Linked DNA regions of Drosophila melanogaster. The protein of the gene in region 1 binds, or shares a complex with, the protein of each later gene. Each region holds a gene or a part of one and is shown in the gene's direction. Other genes may lie near its edges.

The links.
Region 2: the proteins of 4E-T (region 1) and eIF4E1 are in contact, whole or in part, in a crystal structure (PDB 4UE9), measured with the Drosophila melanogaster proteins. Residues at the interface, in NP_726618.3 of Drosophila melanogaster: Arg9, Tyr10, Lys12, Leu15, Leu16, Leu18, Arg19, Glu21, Lys23, Ser24, Arg25, Gln29, Cys30, Ser31, Arg33, Gln37, Leu39, Gly40, Phe41, Trp42, Lys43; in NP_001261626.1 of Drosophila melanogaster: Lys80, His81, Pro82, Leu83, Met84, Tyr91, Glu93, Asn105, Ile107, Thr108, Val113, Glu114, Trp117, Ser118, Leu119, Tyr120, Asn121, His122, Ile123, Lys124, Tyr135, Leu174, Asp175, Leu178, Ile181, Gly182, Glu183, Ala184, Phe185, Asp186.

The regions. Positions count from the first base shown.
Region 1 is NC_004353.4:952,377-960,062, reverse strand, and holds the start of 4E-T (eIF4E-Transporter), read left to right. Parts: upstream 1-1,670; 5' UTR 1,671-2,031; coding exon 2,032-2,057; intron 2,058-2,173; coding exon 2,174-3,518; intron 3,519-5,012; coding exon 5,013-5,142; intron 5,143-5,199; coding exon 5,200-5,574; intron 5,575-5,836; coding exon 5,837-6,043; intron 6,044-6,163; coding exon 6,164-6,550; intron 6,551-7,601; coding exon 7,602-7,686. UniProt on the Drosophila melanogaster protein: eIF4E1-binding protein that regulates translation and stability of mRNAs in processing bodies (P-bodies). Probably plays a role in P-bodies to coordinate the storage of translationally inactive mRNAs in the cytoplasm and prevent their degradation.
Region 2 is NT_037436.4:9,399,114-9,404,366, reverse strand, and holds eIF4E1 (eukaryotic translation initiation factor 4E1), read left to right. Parts: upstream 1-1,906; 5' UTR 1,907-2,063; coding exon of another isoform or gene 2,064-2,087; exon of another isoform or gene 2,088-2,450; intron 2,451-2,561; exon of another isoform or gene 2,562-2,710; intron 2,711-2,760; 5' UTR 2,761-3,270; coding exon 3,271-3,327; intron 3,328-3,413; coding exon 3,414-3,784; intron 3,785-3,848; coding exon 3,849-3,948; intron 3,949-4,182; coding exon 4,183-4,270; intron 4,271-4,333; coding exon 4,334-4,497; 3' UTR 4,498-4,749; downstream 4,750-5,253. UniProt on the Drosophila melanogaster protein: Recognizes and binds the 7-methylguanosine (m7G)-containing mRNA cap during an early step in the initiation of protein synthesis and facilitates ribosome binding by inducing the unwinding of the mRNAs secondary structures.

The DNA.
Region 1 (7,686 bases):
ACATTTCTTCGTACTGTGCCATACCATCCCTATTTTGCCATCCTTACGATACCGCCGTCATTATCTTCATTAATGGGTGGGTAGAGACCGTTAGGTCAATGCAGGACGGCATATAGAAATTGGGTGACGCACTCTTAGACCATAACCAAAACTATCGTATATTCTCAAAAAAAGGGGACTATGACTATAAAAATAGCTATGTATTTAACTCTAAACCTCTATAGATTTTGATAGACCATGACATTGTGTGGAACATGATGTCATTTTCTAGACATTGTGCACGAAGATCATTCCCGAAGTCGACCGAACACTTATTCCGTGCATGTTTCATCAGACCGCCGGCAGCATATTTTAGCGTTAGGCGTGCACTTCCTTGTATAACTGTGTACACCTACAAAAAATTTCAAAATCAATCTATCGGGCACGCTCCGTTAATCGAAGTACTTTACGATTTCGATTTTAAAGATTGGTGCTCCGGTTTTCAAATTCGTAAGGATTTTCGATGTGTATAACGGGCACTTTTGTCTGGCCGAAATGAAAAGTATATGCCCATTTTTATATCACGTTAGATCTTAACCAAGGGAAAAAATAGTTCAGTAGTCTATTGATTTATATTCATTAGTTATTTTATATACAATTTATTTCTGACCCCATCAAAAATTTGATATACAAAATTTTGCTGTCGGCAACAAAAATTTTCGATTTGGCATTTTAAAACGCAAGATCGGTGCTCCGGTTTTCAAATTCGTAAGGATTTTTCGATTTGTAAAACGGACACTTTTGTCTGGCCGAAATGAAAAGTATATGCCCATTTTTATATCACGTAAGATATTATTTACCAAGGGAAAAAATAGTTTACTCAGTGGTCTATTGATTTATATTAATTATTTATATTCATTATTTATTTTATATACAATTTATTTCTGACCCCATTAAAAATTTGACATACAAAATTTTGCCGTCGGCAAAAAAAATTTTCGATTTGGCATGGGGTCATGCGTGCGTCGACTAAACTTACTTATAAAATATAAAAGAATTAATTATCTTAATTTAAAAGATGGCCTATAGTGTTCGTAAGTAATGCTATTTAATTTAATTAATTAAACGGTCAAAATGCAGTAAAAAATTAAATGCGAACATCGGAATTAAAATTGTGAAAAAGGTGTCCGCTGGAAAACAGCTTAAACAGCTGTTTACTGTACAGAAAACACTCCGACAGCAAAAAATTTTACGAAATCAAATCGAATTCGGAAACAAATTACGATTATTCGGTAATGCATGCCTGATTATAATTTCTTGATTTGTTTTATATTAAATTTAAAATTTAATAGTTTAATAATATAAAAATATTCTTATTTATATTATATATTATGAGTATTTCAAATGTAAATAATCATATAAACTATTTTATAAAACATCGACGTTACATAAATAAAATTTATTTTTTGTTTTTCAAGTGTAAATAATAATATTAATCATTTTAGAAAACATTCGGCACCTTTACTCGACGCTCATACGAACGGACAGATATGCTTAGTCTGGTATCGCTTTAGCACCAGTAGGAAAAACCTAGAATTTCTTTTCCCACAAATGTCACAACTTCAAAATTCCATTGTTTCACGGTGTTTCTCTTTTAATGTTTCAATATTAATATATATAATGCCTTAAGGTTCAATAAGAACAAAATATTTTCAATGTCTATATCCCACTCCAATTTAGCGTGATATTCACAAAGCTAATCGCAACATTGTGAGCATTAAAAATTGTTATATATGTATGTAAGCGTCTTGGGATTATATTCTCATGAAACTCAACAGTCATATATATGGCCTTAAAATACGTATATATATATATATATATTAATTTTTCAAAGTGTGTGTTTGCATAAGTGGTGTGTACTATTTGTATATTCATTGTACAATTTCTCCCGTTCATATAGGAGAGTGTTCTGTTTTTAATAATTTTGGATATCTTAACTTTTTCGACTTTCTGTAATAAGTTAGATTACACAGTGAACTATAGTCCTTAGCAATGGATACATCAAAGATTAGTGCCAGGTATGTGGATTAAATATTGGTAAATTTTAGTCAACTTTTTCGATATTATTCTCGCGTACTGTTTTTTTAAACTTGTATATGTACTAACATTGTTTTAACAATCTGTTTCACATTAGGTACTCGAAAGTAGACCTGTTAGCTCTAAGATATGAAGGTAAAAGTCGACAGCGCCCGCAATGTTCAACACGACTTGAATTGCAGACGCTAGGTTTTTGGAAAATTAATCTGAACACAGCTGCGTTAACCGTGTCCAGCGCCTATTCTAATCAAAACAAGAATCGACTTTCTCCAGAAGCAGATAACTCGAGCTTAATTTGTTCCAATAGTAGCTCAATAAGTTCACGTCGCGCTATGAGAAATCGAGAACGGGCAAACAACTATTACCAGCGCTTCGTACCTACCGATTCTCTTCTAATAAGTGGGGAGGATAAAGATAAGGATGCGCTTTCTCATGGACAGCCCTATAAGTTGAATATCATCGATCACCGTAGCATATCATCTTCACATTTAATGCCGGCATTTGCAAAGAGGCGTTTTGTCATATCGAAAGGCAGCAACAGCGAGGAAAGCAACGAGGGGATAAACACTTGTGCAAGCAAGGGCAAGGCAGCCAGTTCGCCTAGCCGTAAGGGTAGCGAGTTGGATACTGCTGAGACATGTTTGAATTTTGTTCAGCCGGATCACGACCAATGCATGTCATCTTCACCTACATTTTCAACATCCCGCCAAGAAAGGCGGATTGGTAGCGGTCGGCTGTTGCCAAGAAGTGATAATTGGGATTACAAAAACGAAAAGACCGTAGAAGCCAGCATTGAGAATGAAAAGGAAACATCTCCAAATGGATCTGGAAGTACAAGCAGTCTTAATCAGCACAATCAAAGCCAACATCGTTCTCGAACATTCAGTGGAAGGTTAGTTGAACGTGTTCCCGAAGTCACAGATCGTCGTTTTCAATATGACTCCAAAAAGTCTTTTGATCGTCAGGGAATTAATAATCGACGCATTTCTGGTAAGGAGCCTTTCAGTACTCAAAGCCGAAGCAAGCGTGGCAATTCCTATCTCATTCACGAAGAACCTGAATGGTTCAGTGCAGGACCTAAATCACAGCTAGAAACTATTGATCTACACGGGTTTGAAGACCTGGAAAAAAACGAAGAGCGATCCGTAACTGAAGATAAAAATAATCAAATTCAACAACTTGATAAAAATTTAGACGCGCAAGCAAGCAAAGATGAAGCTTCGATGAGAAACAGCAATGATAGTTTAAATTTCCGCGAAGTCATTCCAAGTGATGAAAAGAAGCACACTGACGAAAATGTAGTGACTTCTATTCAAAACTCAACAGATCTCGGCCATCCCAATAAAAACAAACCAATTCAGATGCAGCCCAGTCAGAATCCTGAAAGTGAATTTAATTTTGATGCCTTTCTTAATATGCATCCCTTGGATAATTCCGTTTTGGTAAATATATTGCAAAAACTAGATTTTAAGGAATGAGTACCTAATCCATTCAGACATTACATGGACAACTTCCGGGTTACCTTTTATTGACGGATCAATAATAGTATTCAAATAAGCTGTAAATAATGATATTAACTCCCGTTACTCAAGTAAAGGGTAAAGAGTTAAAGGGTATACTAGATTCGTTGAAAAGTATGTAAACTATATATTCTTGATCAGGATCAATAGCCGAGTCGAACTGGCCATGTCCGTCTGTCCGTATGAACGTCGAGATCTCAGGAACTAAAAAAACTAGTATGTTGCAATTTAGCATACAGATTATAGATACGAAGACGCAGCACAAGCAAAGACACTAGAATAACAAGATGCGTAACGGCCATACATTGGTTTTGCACTATGCAGCCAATTTTTTAGTGACGGCCAAAATTGCTCTCTTTCCGCTCGCTCCCGCTGAGAGCATAAGAAATCTAAAAATAGAATTTGCTTGCTTGTGTGAGTAAAAACAAGAGACGAGAACGCATATATGTGTGCGTGTTGTGCTAGAAGACGATTTTCGGACCGAAATCAATTCTGATCAAAGAAACGAATTTACATTGTACATATTAGGGTAGTTTTTGTCAATTTCGTAGCAATATGATAAAATAAAATAATTTTTAACTGACTATTATCATTTTAAAGCTTTTTAAATTTGTTTGTTAAAATCGCCGCTCGAATTAGCTACCGTTTACACATTTATATTTATGTTTAATTCTAATTTGTCTCTCATCTGACAATTTTTTAAAAGCGAAATATTTTTTTTTTTAAACACTTTTAATGTTAATGTTACATCATATTAAGTCAAATGACATAATAAATATAGTAAATAATTAAATATGATAACTGTTTATTGCAAAAGTCATATCAAAGACACTAGAATTATTCTAGTGTCTTTGCTTTGTTCATATCTTGAAGCACGAAGTACGGACACAAGCACTCAACAATCATTGCCTTATTAATTTTTCACACGCCGCAAGATGAATACTCTAATGACAAATATTCTTATATAAAGTCATTTTTGAAATTTATTTTTGTGATAATATGTACATAGATTTGGCTATTTCTAATCTATTTTCATATAATAATAACGTTAAGGCAATGCAAAACAAGAATTTTTCGCATGGTGCCAATTGATCAAAAATAATATAGATTTAAAGTCAAAGAACTTCTAAGGTGAAGGGCATATTTTGTGAAATTTACAATGCATGAGCATGCCTGTGTACACATACAGTTGTCTGCTATCACTTTATGCGTTAAAAACAAACAAACAAACCGCCCAGAACTGCCACGCCAACATTTTTGAAAAATGTTCTGATATTTTTTCATATTTTTATTAGTCTAGTAAATTTCTATGGATTTGCAAAAAAAAAAGTTTGCCCCGGCAACTCTAATACCCTAGAATTTATATTTTAAAGGTAAGCTTATTAATTTTAAGATATATTTATTGTACATTTGCAGAGTAATGATGAAACTGGAAAAAGTGACTCAAAAGGAACATCCCGTTTTAGCCGATGGTTTCGACAAAAAGAAGCTGCAAATAATAATGAGTTTCCAGGGTTTCGGGAATCGCATGCTCAAGAAAAACGTGGTATGTCAAGATTTGTAATAATATATCAAAGGCCTTATAGTTCACTTTGTTCTTAAGGTATTCCAAGTGTTAAGGATCTGGAAGCTCAAATGATAAAAGTGGATATGAGGACTGATTTAATAAATCCAATAGCAGGGTCATTATGTCAGACAGTGCAAATGGAAAAACCTATTGCTAGAGACACTGAGGCATTCAAAAAACTTTTGCAACAGTTGGGTTCTCAAGCCAGGCAGCATCATCCATGCAACGACGATTGTCGTACAATAAACCTCTCAAATATAGCAAATCATGTACACCTTGAGTCAAAATTACATCAAAAAATAAATGATGGTCATTTGCAGCAACCAGAGTTAAGTGTTAACGTGCCAACCATGCCAACTAGTAGTCATGTATTTTTGCAAAAGCGTTTGGAAATCCAACATTTAATTCAAAGTAAGATATGTTTCAAAATTCCATGTCTATAAACTTTTTCTTGAATACTTAAGTCCTTTTTCTTGTCCTTATGGTAAAATAATATAAGGTTTCTGGCTGATAAAACACATGAATGTTACAGTTTACCATATACATGTTTACCATCAGAACGGGAACTTATTTAAAGCGTATCTGGTAAAAACCACGTGTTCTTATTTTAATGCTTTTATACCCTGCGCTGTATTTAAATATTATGAAAAACAAAATGTTTAATAATAAATAGGACTTCATTGTGGAGACGTTTCACATGATTTTTTGGAAAAAGAATTGGATAATCCCAGCACCCCAGCAGCCACAAAGGATGTCATTGCCACAGTGTTGAATGAATATTCTCATTCTAAAAGAAATCCGGTGGTCACAGGCGATCCCAATATTTTTACCCAACAATCGTTTCTTCAGCCTCAATCAGTCCATCAGCACTACTCTCAAGGTAAGTAATTCTTGGTTATATGGTAACTCTTTAAAATTCAATTAATATAATATTTGATTCAGTTAAAGTATCTTATTTATTACTAAAATTATTTGTAAAAATTCCTTAATTTTTTTCTAGAATTGCATTCGCAAAATACTGCTAACCATACGATTAATCAGCTAATTTCCCACGGTAACTCTCCAACTCCGTTGGCATTTACTCCTACTTCAGTTTTAAGAAAAATGACAGCCGATAAGGATACGCAATCACCAAGCACTTATTGTCAGAACCCACAATATCATGTACACCAACAAAATGCCAAGCAAGTCGGTACTCGTGAGAACGTACTTGAGCCACAGCTGACCGCAACAATGGCTGTACAGCCCCGAATGATATTAGGCGGTGGAAACTTTGCCATTGGCCAAAACAATCAACATTTGTCTCCCAACATGTCACAAAGTCGTAATCAACAAGTGTTAAAGTGGACTTCTGGCAATATGCAAATGGTCCACGGAAAAACATTTGGTAAGTTACACAAAAAAGTGTTAGCTATTATTAAAGTACATTTATTAGTTAAAGCTTTGTTTTTTTTTTTTTGCTATAAGTTTTTTTTACTCGTTCTCATAAACTTAATGTAAATGTATATGAATTTCAAGAGAAATTATAAAAATCGTTGAGTTACCATAAAAAGCGTGCAAATACGCAAATACAAAATTCAGTTCTTAAAAGAGGATAGTATAGGATAGGAGAAAGTGGATGCTTTTTATACCCGTTACCCGTAGCGTAAAAGCAAAGACATTAGAATAACAAGATACGTAACGGCCATATATTGGTTTTGCCAAAGACATTAGAATGACGAGTAACGCCATACGTTTTTTAGGATTTTTGTTGACTTTTTCATCAATTTATTAGTCTCTTAATCAAGTAAATTTTCAAAAGTTTTGGTGGCTTTGTGGGCGTGGCAGTTTTGGCCTGTTTGTGGGCCTTAGAGTGTCCGCAGCATCATGACTCTCTCAAGCTTCTCAACTCTCTAGCTTCTATAGCTCCTGAGATCTCGATGGCCAGATCGACTCGGCTATTGATCCTGATCAAGAATATATATACTTTATATGGTCGGAAACGCTTCTTTCTGCCTGTTACATTCTTTAAAACGAATATAGTATATCTCTACGAGAACCGGGTGTAAATATACAACCTGTAGAATAGCTAAATTGGCTTTTTGAGACACGACGTGCGTGCACGTATATACTTACATAATATAGAGAGTATTTTTTAATAGACCAAAAAATAAATATTCATATACACAGTTTGCTTAATTTATATTCTGTGCAAGAAGTGTACCCTACAATTTTGATTATTCTTGACTTATTGGGGTAATGAAAATTACGATTATTTAGTGGAATTTTTTGAAGTGGACTTTGTTTTAATGTAGTTATCTGTGACCCAAAGCAATATTTTATTCTCTAGGAATAAATATCTTTGTTAAACAACGCGATATAATAAACTTGAGATCTTCGACTTCTGTATTAATGGGTTCAAAGACTTACACATTATTATTTTGACTTACATATTTTAGGCCGACCTATTCTGAAAGGAGGTCTTAATTCAATGCCGCATTCCAATTCTGCACTTCCTTTTACTGCCCATAAAATTGAAATGCA
Region 2 (5,253 bases), on another chromosome or scaffold:
TGTCAGTTTCGAGTATCTTAAAGATACTTTTTTGACCAATCGGAATTCATTGGTTCAGTAAGCATATTCGGCGACTGGGTGTCTGAAATCTGGTTTCGATCATCTTATCTTGATGGTATAACTAGCATTTAGATACCCATTTTTCTTCATAATTCTTAATTTTATTTGTTGCATAATTTATGAAAATAGTACGAAAAAGTACAATTTTTTATACAGGTTCTGTATAAGTTACAAGGTACCCATTAGTCGAAACCTTATTTATCGAACTTTATAACCTAACCACTTGACTATGATTTATTTACAATTAAGCATCTTTGAGCGCTTCAATTACTTTTTACTTCCAATTAATGCAAAGTATACTGCCTAAGGTTTAACTTTGACTCCGGGTTTCCTGTAGATCGGCGGAAGTTTTTTTGTTTAGACATGCGCCAAGCACTTGAAGTCCGCAATTGACTGCTGCATAATTAGATGCGATGCGATTGGAATAGAGGATGCGATGGGTAATCACATCAACACTTGGACAGGCGATCAAGTGTCAGTTCAATAAGACCGGCTCAAGTGTAATTAGAGACCACGGATCTTGGGTTTCGGGAAGGGATCTTGGGTTTTCGGATCATCGATCCAACGATCGTGCCGAGCTCTTGAAAGCCGCTTATTAGGCATTTACAAGGGCAACTGCGCAGTTGATCGGTTACAAAATGACTTAACTATTTAAATAATAAACACGCTTCACGTTTCTCAGGCTAAGTTCGTAAGCATCTTCAATTTTCGGATTGCGTCTCAACTGCAACAGTCTATTTTGAAAGTCAAGCGTTTCTAAAAGCGCCACATCATCAGCGGTAATATTATCCATCCCTCATAAATATTCCCATGTTGTTTTGGGATCTTTTGGCTATTTTTAAAGCAGACAAAGGCGAGCCAATAATGTGTGGAAAGAATTTTGGTTGGATTCAAATACGAAGCAGCTTTGGTAACAACTAAGGTTCTGGGTTAGTCATGATTCACCAACAGGTTAGACTTAGTTTTGTGGCAAAATTTAACCAATGACGTCCAAGTTCTAACTAAAGTAATATCGTTACTTTGTTATTTTATTTTTGGATATTCTCGAAAGTTTCTGGAATTCTCAAGAAAACTTAAACAATATAGAGTCGCATTATATGGAAAACTCATTGATTCATTCTTATGTTTGTTATTTTGTTATTAAATTCCAATTGATGATGCCAGTGTCTAAATAAAAACGAAGACCTAATTTTCAACCAAAAATCAGGTTTTCTGGGCTTGTCCGTATTAAACATTTTTGATAATTATTTATAATATATTGTTATTTTTTGCTGGCTTCAAAACATCAACAAATTGTGTATGATAAATGACGATGACGTTGTTGTTGATGGCGATCGCGCTGTGGGAATCAGATGAAATGTCAATTAAGTTTGCATTTATATCTTTGATTGAAGCTCTAAGATTTGCTTTGCCATTTTATGCGGAAGTTAAGCTCGGTCAGTTCTTGAAAAAGTTCCCATGGGAGCAAGTTATTTGTTTTTTGACAATAAGAAGCGTTTATTTAAAATGGCTTATTATGGCCTCAATGATTCCTAATAGGCGTAACTTACTGGTTATAAACTTGTTTAATATCGTTTCATTTTAAACCTGGATGACAGAAAATGAATTTCGGTTCAAATACAAATATTACAATAGAAAGTATGATATTTAGCTCCGATAAACATTTAACAATTTTAGTATTTTAATGGTGAAATGGTAAATTCCGCGCATGAAAAGAGATAGAAGAGATGACATATATGGAAACCTTAAAAACGTAACGGTTGCTTGGGTTTTATAACAATCAGTCAGTGACAGGCATTTCCAGAGTTGCCCTGTTCAACAATCGATAGCTGCCTTCGGTCGCTCGTCACTAACTTTCCTTTAGGCAACGGCCACACTGTCTGGCCACCAAAATCCCAAACTTAATTAAAGAATTAAATAATTCGAATAATAATTAAGCCCAGTAACCTACGCAGCTTGAGTGCGTAACCGATATCTAGTATACATTTCGATACATCGAAATCATGGTAGTGTTGGAGACGGAGAAGGTAAGGCGAGAAACGGCGAGCCGCATGGTTTCGATTTCGGCTGAGCCGTGGCAGGAACAACAAAAACAGGGTTGTTGCACAAGAGGGGAGGCGATAGTCGAGCGGAAAAGTGTGCAGTTGGCGTGGCTACATCATCATTGTGTTCACCGATTATTTTTTGCACAATTGCTTAATATTAATTGTACTTGCACGCTATTGTCTACGTCATAGCTATCGCTATCTCTGTCTGTCTCTATCAAGCTATCTCTCTTTCGCGGTCACTCGTTCTCTTTTTCTCTCCTTTCGCATTTGCATACGCATACCACACGTTTTCAGTGTTCTCGCTCTCTCTCTCTTGTCAAGACATCGCGCGCGTGTGTGTGGGTGTGTTCTTCTTTAGCTACATATACATAAATAGGAGAGCGGAGAGACAAATATGGAAAGAATGGAAAAAGAGTGAATTACTGCAATTAACCAGTCGCGAACAGTTAAATCATATTTTTGTCGGCCATTGCAGTAAATAAACCGTTGGCTTTCCCTCTTCACTTTCCACCTCCTTTCTTTGACGTTAATTTTTTTCAGTTAATCGCGCCGCTGCTTTGAACTCGAACACGAATTTTAGCCGCAACATAAAATAAAATCAAGTAACTCTTTTAACTCAAATATAAAACAACAATTCCAATTCTTTCAACAGGCAATCTGTGTTTTTATGTCAGATACGTGCGCGTGTGTGTGTGTGCTGTAATTCCATCGCCCCTTTCGATTCCGAGTTCGTTAGGAACAGCATTAGTTCGCCTATTTTAGTAGTAGCCTAGTCCGATTTTAAGTGAAACAGGATACTCCAACACCATATACTCAATAATTAGTTACAACACCCACTCAACCATACAGCAACAACAAGTTTAACGAGTTTTTTGTATTATCATTACTTAGTTTTTTGGTTAATAATACACAAGTGAAGAGCGAACTGCAGGGGAGCGAGATATCACGAAACAATCCAAAATCCACACACACTCAAACAGAAATCAAAAGCTTCGCTCTCTCGCACACACACGCACCAACCAACTATCAACTATCACAAACACCGCGACAGAGAGAGAGCGGCAAGTGAATCACGGCGAATCGAAACCGATCCGAACCCACTCCGGAGCCGAAAAAGAACTGATCCTACCATCAAACGCATCCAATAAACACGGCCGCCAACATGCAGAGCGACTTTCACAGAATGAAGAACTTTGCCAATCCCAAGTCCATGTTCAAAGTAATACTCTCAGTGCGCCTGTCGCTAAGCCAAGCTAATCTAATCTTCTGATTCCCCTTCCCATCCATTGCCATCTTCTCCCGCAGACCAGCGCCCCCAGCACCGAGCAGGGTCGTCCGGAACCACCAACTTCGGCTGCAGCGCCCGCCGAGGCTAAGGATGTCAAGCCCAAGGAGGACCCACAGGAGACTGGTGAACCAGCAGGCAACACTGCAACCACTACTGCTCCTGCCGGCGACGATGCTGTGCGCACCGAGCATTTATACAAACACCCGCTCATGAATGTCTGGACGCTGTGGTACCTTGAAAACGATCGGTCCAAGTCCTGGGAGGACATGCAAAACGAGATCACCAGCTTCGATACCGTCGAGGACTTCTGGAGCCTATACAACCACATCAAGCCCCCATCAGAGATCAAGCTGGGTAGTGACTACTCGCTATTCAAGAAGAACATTCGGTGGGTTTGCTGTTTATTGCAATTCTGCCAAGATAACCTTTACTAACTGATATCTCATTTGCAGTCCCATGTGGGAGGATGCAGCCAACAAACAGGGCGGTCGTTGGGTCATTACCCTTAACAAAAGCTCCAAGACCGATCTGGATAACCTATGGCTCGATGTGGTAAGTGCACAAAGAAACGAGTGGTGAGCGGATGGTCTATTTATAGTGAATGTACATTCTTGAAATGCAAAAATATAGAAATAGGTGTATGATTTTGCAATATAAATTATAACTTATAGAAAATATCAGCTAAAAATACGCTAGTGCTAGCTTTTGTCTTAGGAACATTCAATAGTGAGCTTATATCATAAATATTTTTCGCATATGAGTAACTACAACTGTTTTGCCTTCCAGCTGCTCTGCCTGATTGGTGAGGCCTTCGATCACTCTGATCAGATCTGCGGCGCTGTTATAAACATTCGCGGCAAGAGCAACAAGATATGTAAGTTTTCACGCACACCCAACTTCAGCGGAATTCCTTTGTTTAACGATTAATGCTTTCCAGCCATCTGGACTGCCGACGGAAACAACGAGGAAGCTGCCCTTGAGATTGGTCACAAGCTGCGCGATGCCCTGCGTCTGGGACGCAACAACTCGCTGCAGTATCAGTTGCACAAGGACACGATGGTCAAGCAGGGCTCCAACGTGAAATCGATCTACACTTTGTAGGCGGCTAATAACTGGCCGCTCCTTATTCGGTCCGATCCCACACTGATTATTTTGTCTTTCATTTATTTATCGTTATAAGCAACAGTAGCGATTAATCGTGACTATTGTCTAAGACCCGCGTAACGAAACCGAAACGGAACCCCCTTTGTTATCAAAAATCGGCATAATATAAAATCTATCCGCTTTTTGTAGTCACTGTCAATAATGGATTAGACGGAAAAGTATATTAATAAAAACCTACATTAAAACCGGATACTTTTGATCTTTGATTTTGGAGATATTTTAAAATAGAAAAAAGTTAACCTATATTGTTTTTGGGATAATTACTTGTTGTATTACTAAAACGAGCTTGTATCCTAATATGGGCACCTAAAGCAAAACTTCCAAATTTGGAATTCAATTTGTTGCTAAAAATACGTTAGCAATTTCTAGGGTGGCCAAAAAAAAATGTGTATCGATATATCGATAGGTTTCCTAAATAGACATTAAAATAATTTTAGCTTTTTACTTATATTGTTAGAGTAAATACGTTTGTATTTAAAAAATAAGTCAGTATTTTTTTTTTATTAACCTATTATTGAATTTTATATGAGTGAGAGCTTTTCCATTCAGCCAAGAACGGTCACACTGCATGTGACATGTTTCAATTGTGTAGGCGCAGTCACACTGGTCGCGTCGCTCGTAGATATCGTGTAAGGATATGTCTCCGTGTTTAGCTAAATAAAATACATAAAATATATGTGCAATTCTAACAAG